Linked DNA regions of Callithrix jacchus. The protein of the gene in region 1 purifies or fractionates together with the protein of each later gene. This does not show direct contact. Links are inferred from orthologs where the notes say so. Each region holds a gene or a part of one and is shown in the gene's direction. Other genes may lie near its edges. The genes, in order: CD2BP2, USP39 and EAPP.

Region 1 (3,600 bases):
CCTCCCGAGTAGCTGGGACTAGAGGCGTATGCCGCCACGCCCGGCTAATTTTTTTGTAGTTTAGGAGAGACGAGGTTTCTTTTCTTTTCTTTTTTCTTTTGAGACGGAGTTTCGCTCTTGTTACCCAGGCTGGAGTGCAGTGGCGCGATCTTGGCTCACCGCAACCTCCGCCTCCTGGGTTCAAGCAATTCTCCCGCCTCAGCCTCCCGAGTAGCTGGGACTACAGCCGCGCACCACCATGCCCAGCTAATTTTTTGTGTATTTTTAGTAGAGACGGGGTTTCACCATGTTGACCAGGATGGTCTCGATCTCTTGACCTCGTGATCCACCCGCCTCGGCCTCCCAAAGTGCTGGGATTACAGGCGTGAGCCACGGCGCCCGGCCGAAGGCAGGATTTCTAGCGACACGGTAGGGGCGCAGAACCCTTCCCTGGGGGAAGGGTTACTCGAACCCAGGACAGGAAGACAAGAAAGCAATCCAGTGGCTCTGCTCAGACTTTGCTCCTAAATCCTGACACTGAGCGACCCTTTAAGTAGATGCGCTCCACTTTTTCTCCAGAGCCTCTACGGCTCAATGAGAGAATCAAAGCTACTTCCGGCCATTTCTCACGCCGGGTTAGAGTCTAGGAATTCTTAAGTCTCCTCTTTTCGCCACTTTCCTCCCACGCGACTGACGTCACTTCTGGCGTAAGAAAGGGTGGAGGTGTCTTCCCTCGCTCATCGCGTACTTCCGCCCGCTCTTCCAGTTGGTCCTCTGGCCGGAGTGAAGCCACTTCCGGCCTCCCCGGCGCATTCCTCAGTCCTCTTCCGGGTGATGGCGGCCGGGTGCCCCGGATGTAGCCCTGGCGCAAGCATCTCTTCTTTGCCGCCTCACCTCCAGCGGATCCCCAGGTGAGCGCGCGAGCGTGGGACCATCCGAATCCCCGTGGCCCTCTACTTTGTACGCAGCCCGGGACAGGTGGAGCTCACCACACGGAATTGGGAGTTCGGAGCAGGGAGGAACGGGGCGGCGAGGGCGCCAGGTCCTGGGTCCGCCCGGGCCCCGCGAGCTCCGAGAGAGCCTGGGTAGGAGGCGGGGGTCAGCCCGTCGAGCCTGGTGGTACCCAGACTGCGGGGGCTGGGTTTGGAGGTGGTCACATGGTGGAGCCTGTCTCCTTTTGGCCGGGGTCGGGGGATCCAGAGGGATTGCCCCTCCGTCCCCGCCCCATTTAATTCGAGGATGCCAGACCGAGTACCAGAGGCCTTCTGGCTTCCAGCTCCCTTTCCGCCCCTGCTTTTGTGCTCCCTTCCCTCTCAAACTGTACTTGTCACCAAGAAAAATGTTTGCTGTGCCGGGAATCCTCTGGCGGCGAGTCCCCTCCTCACCCCGTTCTCTTCCTCTGCATACTTTCCTCAGCTTGAGGAACACCTTCTCTGCCCTGTCATGCCAAAGAGGAAAGTGACCTTCCAAGGCGTGGGAGATGAAGAGGACGAGGATGATATCAGTGTCCCCAAGAAGAAGGTGAGGGGACCAAACTTCTTTGTGTGGGGGGAAAGAGAGGAGCTAGAAGCCTGAGGAGGAAGAAAGTTGGGAGGGGCAAGGCGGGCTGGCAGAGAAAAGCCTAGTTTTTCCAGGTTCACTGAGGAATGGATTGGGAGCATCTTCAGTGTGGGTCCTGAAATATTTGGGGAAGTAGGGCTGGGCACGGTGGCCCACGCTTGTAATCCCAGCACTTTGGAAGGCCAAGGCAGGCAGATCACCTGAGGTCGGGAGTTGAAGACCAGCCTGGCTAACCTGGTGAAACCCCATTTCTACTAAAAGTACTAAAAATTAGCCGGGTGGTGGTGGGCACCTGTCCCAATTAGTTGGGAGGCTGATGTGGGGGAATCCCTTGAACACAGGAGCCGGAGGTTGCAGTGAGCTGAGATCAGCCATTGCACTCCAGCTTGGGCAACAAGAGTGAACTCTGTCTCAAAGAAAAAAAAAAAAAGAAATATCTAGGGAAGCAGTTGAGATCCTGAAATATTTGGGGAGTATTTGGGTCCAGATCTGGCAGTATTTGGGGAGGTAGCCAGTAACCTGCATTTCTTGACTTCCTGGCTCCTGCTCACAGCTGGTGGACCCTGTGGCTGGGTCAGGGGGTCCTGGGAGCCGCTTCAAAGGCAAACACTCTTTGGACAGCGATGAGGAGGATGATGACGATGGGGGGTCCAGCAAATATGACATCTTGTCCTCAGAGGATGTAGAAGGTGAGCTGTACTCAAGAATACACTCTACTGAAGGAAAAAGTAGAGACCTCTGGTGGTGTGAGGTGAGGGAGGCCCCGGTCTCTTTTTTTTCATCCCCAGCAAAGGACACCCCTGTCTTTGGTGCAGGTCAGGAGGCAGCCACACTCCCCAGCGAGGGGGGTGTGCGGATCACACCTTTTAACCTGCAGGAGGAGATGGAGGAAGGCCATTTCGATGCCGATGGCAACTACTTCCTGAACCGGGATGCTCAGATCCGAGACAGCTGGCTGGACAACATTGACTGGGTGTGGCCAAGGGGCTGGCATGGCTGGGGCCAGGGAGTGGCAGAGCTGCTGCCTGCTCCCGTGGCAGTTTGTGGGAAATCACTCCCCTTCTTCCCATTACAGGTGAAGATCCGGGAGCGGCCACCTGGCCAGCGCCAGACCTCAGACTCGGAGGAGGAGGATGGCTTGGGCCAGACCCCAATGAGTGCCCAAGCTCTCTTGGAGGGACTTTTGGAGCTCCTGTTGCCTAGAGAAACAGTGGCTGGGGCACTGAGGCGTCTGGGGGCCCGAGGAGGAGGCAAAGGGAGCAGCAAGGGGCCCGGACGACCCAATTCCCCACAGCGCCTGGACCGGCTCTCTGGGTTGGCCGACCAGATGGTGGCCCGGGGCAACCTTGGCGTGTACCAGGAAACTCGGGAACGGTTGGCCATGAGGCTGAAGGGTTTGGGGTGCCAGACCCTGGGACCCCACAATCCCACACCCCCACCCTCCCTGGACATGTTTGCTGAGGAAGTGGCGGAGGGGGAACTGGAGACCCCAACCCCTACCCAGAAAGGAGGTGAGCTTGGAGGACACAGGAGGAGGCACTGGGCAGGAGGCAGACACTGGAGGCCAAATGGCTTTGCCTGTTATTTTAGAAGCAGAGTCGCCGGGAGATGGTCTGGTGGATGTGATGTGGGAATATAAGTGGGAGAACACAGGGGATGCCGAGCTGTATGGACCCTTCACCAGCGCCCAGATGCAGGTGAGCCGCTTTCTTCCTCCTTCTGCCTTGTCCCTGCTTCCCCAACTCCTGTCAGTCCTTCCCCAGCTCTGCCCTCTCCTTGCAGACCTGGGTGAGCGAAGGCTACTTCCCGGACGGTGTTTATTGCCGGAAGTTGGACCCCCCTGGTGGTCAGTTCTACAACTCCAAACGCATTGACTTTGACCTCTATACCTGAGCCTGCTGGGGGCCCAGTTTGGTGGGCCCTTCTTTCCTGGACTTTGTGGAGGAGACCCCCAAGTGTCTCAGGCAGTGAGGAAATTGGAGGCCATTTTTCAGTCAATTTCCCTTTTCCAATAAAAGCCTTTAGTTGTGTATTAGGGCCTTCGCTGTGCTGATGGCCGGA
Region 2 (3,723 bases), on another chromosome or scaffold:
TTACTATTATTATTATTTTTTTTTTTTTAAGAGAGGATCTCACTCTAGCCCAGGCTGGAGTGCAGTAGTGGATCAGAGCTCACTGTAGCCACAAACTCCTGGGTTAAAGTGATACATTTTTCTTTTGTGAAAAGATTTATTCATCCTTTTTATGTCCTCTCCACCTCCAGAATGCTGTTGGGGTCCTTTTACCTTAGTCTGACTTGTAACTTTCCCTTTAGAAAAAGTGAATGCAGTGGGAAGTCTTGAACTGGTTACAAACACTAATGAGAAAGATACTTTTGGTTATTAGGTGTCTGGTGGAGACACCTCAACACTGCTTTGGAGCATGGCAGGTGGAGGTGAGGAATAATCAGTGTCTCCGAATAATCAGTGTCCCCCAATAATCGGTATATATATTGTTGTGAACTGTTTTCTGAAGGCTGTTGTGTGGTATCATTGAACATCACAGAGCCAACACTGCTTCATTTGAGTGCCTTCCTACATGTCCATCCTATTGTTTATTTTTTTCTGTTTTGTTTTGTTTCCTTAGAAGTGTGCTGGACTTTGACTTTGAGAAACTGTGTTCTATCTCCCTCTCACATATCAATGCTTACGCCTGTCTGGTGTGTGGCAAGTACTTTCAAGGTAATGAGTGTTAAAAATTACAAACTTGTTAAGCTTTTAGAGCTAGCTGCAGATCTGTTCCAGAGGGACTTTTTTTTTTTTTTTTTTAAAGAAAGTAAGCTGTTCTCAGGAATTATATCTAATAATTTCAATTTGTTCCCAGGAAATTGAAATATTCTTAGAAAACGAACAAGAGGTTCTCTGACTGGTCAGAGCCTGGATATATCTGAAAGGGAGAAAGGGCAAATCATATGACATCAAAGACTGGATTCTTGATTCTAATATATGTATTTTCTTATTTTTAATTTTTTATTATTTTGAGACAGAGTCTCACCCTGTCACCCAGGTTGGAGTGCAGTGGTGCAGTCTTGCCAGCTAATTTTTGTTTAAATTTACATGGAGTCTTGCTTTGTCACCCAGTCTGCAGTGCAGTGACATGATCTTGGCTTACTGCAACCCCTGCCTTCTGGGATCAAGCAGTTCTCCTGCCTCAGCCTCCCAATTAGCTGGGATTACAGGCATACCACCATACCTGGCTAATTTTATATTTTTAGTAGAGACAGGGCTTCACCATGTTGGCCAGGCTGGTCTCAATCTCCCAACTTCAGGTGATCTACCTTGGCCTCCCAAAGTGCTGGGATTACAGGCATGAGCCACCGTGCCCAGCCAATTTTTTATTTTTATTTTTGACATAGAGTCTCCCTCTGTCACCCAGGCTGGTGTGCAGTGGCATGATCTAGGCTCACTGCAACCTCTGCCTTCTGGGTTCAGTCTGTTCTCCTGCCTTAGCTTCCTGAGTACTGGGATTACAGGTGTGTACCATCACACCCAGCTAATTTTTTTTTTTTGTACTTTTAGTAGAGATAGGGTTTTATCATGTTGGTCAGGCTGGTCTCGAACTCCTGACCTCGTGATCTGCCTTCCTCGGCCTCCCAAAGTGCTGGTGTTATAGGTGTGAGCCACTGTACCCGGCCAATTTTTTTTTTCAATTTTATTTATTTATATTTTGGGCTGGAGTTTCGCTCTGTTGCCCAGGCTCACTTGCATCACTGAGTTCAAGTGATTCTCCTGCCTCAACCTCCCGAGCAGCTGGGACTACAGGCATGCACCACCACGCCACTACACCTGGCTAATTTTTGTATTTTTTAGTAGAAATGGGGTTTTACCATATTGGCCAGGCTAGTCTTGATCTCCTGACCTCAAGTGATCCACACTCATCAGCCTCCCAAAGTGCTGAGATTACAGGCGTAAGCCACTGCACCGGGCCACATTTTTTTTTTTAAAAGATGGGATTTTTCTCTGTTGCCCAGGCTAGTCTCAAAACTCCTGAACTCAAGCAGTCTGCACTTTGGGGCCTCCCAAAGTGCTGGGATTTATAGGTGTGAGCCACTGCACCACGCCATCTGGCTATTTTATTTTATTTTATTTTGTAGTGACAAGGCTTTATTATATTACCCAGGCTGCCCTTTTATTTTTTAATCCTTTATCTCCATGGACTTTTTTTTCCCCATTCTTTTCTGAAAATGCATAATTTCAACTTATTCAGACCAAGCAGATGCCACGTACATAGTATAGTGGAGGGTTCAAATGAGGTAAAAACATCCTGACATGGTGGCTCGCACCTGTAATCCTAGTATTTTGGGAGGCCAAGGCAGGAGGTTTGCTTAAAGCCAAGAGTTCAAGACCCACCTGGCTAAAGTAACAAGACCCTGTCTCAAATAAAAAAGAGATAAAAACTATATTCTTTGCTGTTATAAGTAGCTTATAAGAAGTCAAGGTTGACAATGTAAAACAACCAGCAAGTTCTGTTAGAACTTAAAGATTCTGCTAGACTGTGGCAGTGAATAAAAATAAAGGCAATAGGAGTTGAAATATGTAAAAGTCAGTGTTAGCCGGAGTGTTTATATTGAGTTCATGGAGGAGTTGAGGTGGGACTTGAATTGGCAGGACATAGGATTTTGAATGGTTAAGGGAGAGATTCTAGAAAGGAGTAGCAACATGAAAAAAGTTACATAGATGCAGCATTGTCCTGAATATGGATAGTTGGAAATTCAGGACTGAGTGATGATGGACTGTCATAGGATATGTATGTATTTGTGTATATGTGTATTTATTCACACATATATGCATGGCTATTTCTGATTTCATATATATAGGAAACTATATATAATATATATATAGGTTATATATATTAGGTTATATACATATTATATGTGAAATAGTGAAATTTGTTTCCTCAGTCAATGTCTTACACCATCTAGGGAATGAAGTAACTAATGTGCCAGTTTTTCTTGCTCATTTTTTTATAAGAGAAGTTCATGTGGAGGATTCATTTTATGAATGGCATAATATTTGTTTTTTGCGGATGCTAACATGTTCTGGTAGAAAATAATGAAAGGAAAAGCAAACCTGATCGGTGCCTTCTAGGATCTGCCCTTCTGTTACAGCCTTTCCCCTTTCCCTACAGGCCGCGGTTTGAAGTCTCATGCCTACATTCACAGTGTCCAGTTTAGCCACCATGTTTTCCTCAACCTCCATACCCTCAAGTTTTACTGCCTTCCAGACAACTATGAGATCATCGATTCCTCATTGGAGGATATCACGGTGTGTGTCTAAGAGGGTTGGTTTGGGGTCCATTCTTTATGAGCCATCCCAGGGCTCCCAGGGGACTGCTCCACCTGAGGACAGGGAAGAATCTCAGTCCTTTTGGGCCTTGAGAGATTGCTTTCCCTTTTGGAAGGAACCAGGGAAACTGATTGTCATTTCTGCCTTTAACATTGAGGACTAGGACTGAAGAAATATGGCTGTATTCTGATAGGGTTGAAAGTGTTTTTGTGAAATGAATTATTCTTCCACACTTTGAAGTAGGGATATTAATTGGGTGTGGTGTAGGACAGTAGTTACCAAGCTGCACACCAGCTCCTGGCTGCTTTTATTTTATGATGTGGCCAGAGCATCCAGCCACAGATGTATCATCTGTGGGCTCTAGTTTGTGACCTGGACCAAGAGATACTCATTGTACTGAACATGGAAAGTCCTCTTGGGCTTTGATTAGTGTTGGGCTTTTGATTATTATTTTTCTTTTCAGCATGTGGGGAATATTCATGGTGCCAAATG
Region 3 (3,723 bases), on another chromosome or scaffold:
GAAGTTGTAGTGAGCCGAGATCACGCCACTGTACTCCAGCCTGAGTGGCAGAGTGAAACCCTATCTCAAAAAAAGTTTTTGTGGATTTAGCACTCAAATGATTTTTTTTATTTAAACTACTTACAAATTCAATCTTTAAAAATTGAGATGCGGCTGGGCCTGTGTTTTTAGTAGAGACGGGGTTTCACTATTTTGGTCAGGCTAGTCTCAAACTCCTGACCTCAGGTTATCCACCCGCCTCGGCCTCCCAAAGTGTTGGGATTACAGGGGTGAGCCACTGTGTCTGGCCTCTAATTTAATTTTTAATAGACACGAGGTCTTGCTATGTTGCCCAGGCTGGTCTTAAATTCTTGGGCTCAAGCAATCCCATCCTGCCTTGGCCTCCTTAAGGTCTGGGATTATAAGCGTGAGCCACCATGCCCGGTGTGTGATTGTTTATTTTTATTTTTATTTTATTTAAAAAAATTTTTTTTATAGAGACAGGATTTCACCATGTTGCCTAGGCTGGTCTCAAACTCCTAGGCTCAAGTGATCTGCCTACCTTGGCCTGGGATTACAGATGTGTGCCACCATGTCTGGCTGTATGCTTCTTTTTTAAATGTAGCTGTACTGTTTTTAAAAAGTTCATGAACTTTTATTTTTGGTACATTTGTCACAATGGACTAATATTGATACATTATTGTTAATCAAAGTCCATAATTTAAAAAAAATTCCTTAGTTTTTATGTAATGTTCGTTTTCTGTTTGCGGATCCCATGTAGAATACTACATTACGTTTAGTTATGTCTCCACAGGCTTTTCTTGACTACGTCTGTTTCTTAGACTTCCCTTGTTTTCAGTGCCTTTATGTACTTTGAGGAGCACTAGTCAGGTGTATGTAGGAGGCTCCTCTGTGGGAATTTGTCTGATGTTTTTTCTCATAATTAGGATGAGATTATGGATTTTTATGAGGAAGAACACAGAAGTACAGAGCCATTTTCATCACATTATTTTAAGAGTACATACTACCAGCATGAGTTTTGTGTGTTGATGTTGGCCTTGATCACCTTGCTAACCAGTGTTAGCTTTCTCTTCTGTGAAGTTAGTCTTTTACCCCGCTACCATATACTGTGCTCTTTGGAAGGAAGTCACTGTGTCCAACCCAGACTTAAGGACTAGGGAGTTACACTCCACCACTGTGAGAGAAGAGCATCTTTATAGATCATTTAGAATTCTGTGTGGGGATTTATTTGTTCTCCCCCATTGATTTATTTATTCAATACATTTATGCTAGCATGGACTCTTGGGTATTTATTTTATACTTTGGGTTGTAATCCAATCCTACTTTATTTTGTTGCTCAGTTTGTTTCAGCTTTGGCAGTTGGTGACTCTTAGTTGGCTCCTGTTTCCCTTTGTCATAACCACCTCATTGTTTGGTTTTTGTTTTCTTGAATACGTCCTTCCTTTCTGGCACTAAAAGATGCTCCAGGTTCATTTTGCATTCCTGATTCCTAGAATTAGCCATTTCTCTGAAGAGGACTCGTTCTTTTTATTGGAAAATGACACTAGAAACCAAGATCTGGTTTTAATATATGTTTCTTTCACTTTCTTCTTCTGTTCTAGTTACCATGGTTTGGGACGACAGAGGTCACATCAACAACAGCCTGTTCCAAATAGTGACGCTGTCTTGAATTGTCCTGCCTGCATGACCACACTGTGCCTTGATTGCCAAAGGTAATGGATGAAAGACACACACACACACTTTGTTTAAATCAGAAACAGACCTGTTTTTTGGAGATGTTGCCCAAGTTGGAGTGCAGTGGTGTAATCTTACCTCACTGCAACCTCTGCCTTGTGGGTTCAGGTGAGTCTCCTGCCTCAGCCTCCCAAGTAGCTGGAATTATAGGCAGCTGCCACAACACCTAGTTAGTTTTTGAATTTTTGGTAGAGACAGGGGTCTCACCATGTTGGCCAGGCTGGTCTTGAACTCCTGATCTCAAGTGATCTGCCCACCTTGGCCTCCCAGAGTGCTAGGATTATGGGTGTGAGCTACCGCGCCCAGCCCAGAAATAGACTTTTGTGGTACTCAGGAATTCTGATAAGGTTCTGTATTTATATTCTTGGTACTATGTGACTAATCTTTATACAATGAATTTTGGTTATATATAATTCTATTAAGAGTAGCTTTGGCCAGGCATGGTGGCTTACACCTGTAATCCCAGCACTTTGGGAGGCCGAGGTGGGTGGATCACCTGCGGTCAGGAGTTCGAAAACACCCTGACCAACAAGGTGAAACCCCGTCTCTATTAAAAAAAAAAAAAAAAAAAAAAAAGGTCAGGTGTGGTGGCTCACGCCTGTAATCCAAGCACTTTGGAGGCCAAGGCAGGCAGATCACCTGAGGTTGGGAGTTCAAGACCAGCCTGACCAACATAGTGAAACCCTGTCTTTAAAAAGAAAAAGAAAAAAAAAAAAAAAAGAGTAGCTTTTATGCTGGGTGCAAGTGGCTCACGCCTGTAACCCCAGCACTTTGGGAGGCTGAGGTAGGTGGATCATGAGGTCAAGAAATCGAGACCATCCTGGCCAACATGGTGAAACCCTGTCTCTACTAAAAACACAAAAAATTAGCTGGGCGTGATGACACGTGCCTCTGCTGCTCAGGAGGCTGAGGCAGGAGAATCACTTGCACCTGGGAGATAGAGGTTGCAGTGAGCCTAGATCGCACCACTGCACTCCACCCTGGTGACAGAGTGAGACCCTGTTTTAGACAAAAAAAAGTAGCTTTTATACTTTTTAAGCTGGGCACAGTGACTCATGCCTTTCATCCCAGTACTATGGGAGGCTAAGGCGATCCCTTGAGCCCAGGAGTTTGAGGCCAGCCTAGGCAACACAGTGATACCTGGTCTTTACAAAAAATAAAAAACCAAAAATTAGCAGAGTATAGTGATGAAGACTGTAGACCCAGCTACTTAATAGGCTGAGGTGAGAGGATGGCTTGAGCCCAGGAGTTCACGGTTGCAGTGGGCTGGACCATCACTGCAGCCTGGGCAACTAAACAAAGGTGAGATCCCCATCTCTCAAAAAAAAGAGTATCTTTTCTAGTGCAAAATAGCAGCATGGAAGCAAACTGGCTTTCCTTCCCCCTGCAGAAAACCAAAACCAACTATATAGCACTGAAGCTATCACCACCAGTATCCCAGATCTTAAATATAAGGAGACAGTTTCTAGGGCCACAAAGAAGTGAAAAAAATTTAAAGCAGACAGTAAGAGAATTGGACTTCTGTATCTGCTCATTCTTCTCCACAAGCTGCCTGGCACCAAGTGAGCAGAAAAATTCCTCTGAGCTCATGATCTTTACATGAGAAAAACTGAGATTGAAGTGAACAAACAGCTTCTTTCCATTCTTGAGTTCTCTGGTGAGAGATCTGTCCCTGCCTCAACCCATAGGAAGAACTGAGAGTACCTGAAGGGAAAAATATTACTGAGGATGGCCAGAGACAAAGAGGGTAGGGGTAGGTAGGACTACATCTGCAACCCTGGAAACTCCACTCTAACTCTGCCAAAGGAAATGCCAACAGAGTGTCTGTTCAGCAGCACCACACTATAGGAGGTTTGTTCCACAGGGTGGAGGTGTGAACCCCTAGCCAGCCTTCCCAGCCTACTGGGATATCCTTATCCTCTTTGGGACCTCCCCCATTTGAGACAGGCAGCACTCTCAGTGTTTACTTGAACTGAGGCAAACCAGGGC

The links.
Region 2: the proteins of CD2BP2 (region 1) and USP39 purify together in Homo sapiens (affinity purification with mass spectrometry; 5 studies listed by BioGRID and IntAct, with this or other methods). This does not show direct contact. The link is inferred for Callithrix jacchus from reciprocal best matches to the Homo sapiens genes CD2BP2 and USP39.
Region 3: the proteins of CD2BP2 (region 1) and EAPP purify together in Homo sapiens (affinity purification with mass spectrometry; 3 studies listed by BioGRID and IntAct, counting the BioPlex papers as one, with this or other methods). This does not show direct contact. The link is inferred for Callithrix jacchus from reciprocal best matches to the Homo sapiens genes CD2BP2 and EAPP.

Annotation. Positions count from the first base shown.
Region 1 is NC_133513.1:29,873,100-29,876,699, reverse strand, and holds the start of CD2BP2 (CD2 antigen cytoplasmic tail-binding protein 2), read left to right. Parts: upstream 1-822; 5' UTR 823-957; exon of another isoform or gene 958-1,064; intron 1,065-1,395; 5' UTR 1,396-1,422; coding exon 1,423-1,500; intron 1,501-2,092; coding exon 2,093-2,228; intron 2,229-2,354; coding exon 2,355-2,512; intron 2,513-2,614; coding exon 2,615-3,050; intron 3,051-3,129; coding exon 3,130-3,236; intron 3,237-3,321; coding exon 3,322-3,432; 3' UTR 3,433-3,600. UniProt on the Homo sapiens protein: Involved in pre-mRNA splicing as component of the U5 snRNP complex that is involved in spliceosome assembly.
Region 2 is NC_133515.1:27,400,840-27,404,562, reverse strand, and holds part of USP39 (ubiquitin carboxyl-terminal hydrolase 39), read left to right. Parts: intron 1-532; coding exon 533-627; intron 628-3,073; coding exon 3,074-3,210; intron 3,211-3,723.
Region 3 is NC_133509.1:69,030,308-69,034,030, reverse strand, and holds part of EAPP (E2F-associated phosphoprotein), read left to right. Parts: intron 1-1,601; coding exon 1,602-1,712; intron 1,713-3,723. UniProt on the Homo sapiens protein: May play an important role in the fine-tuning of both major E2F1 activities, the regulation of the cell-cycle and the induction of apoptosis. Promotes S-phase entry, and inhibits p14(ARP) expression.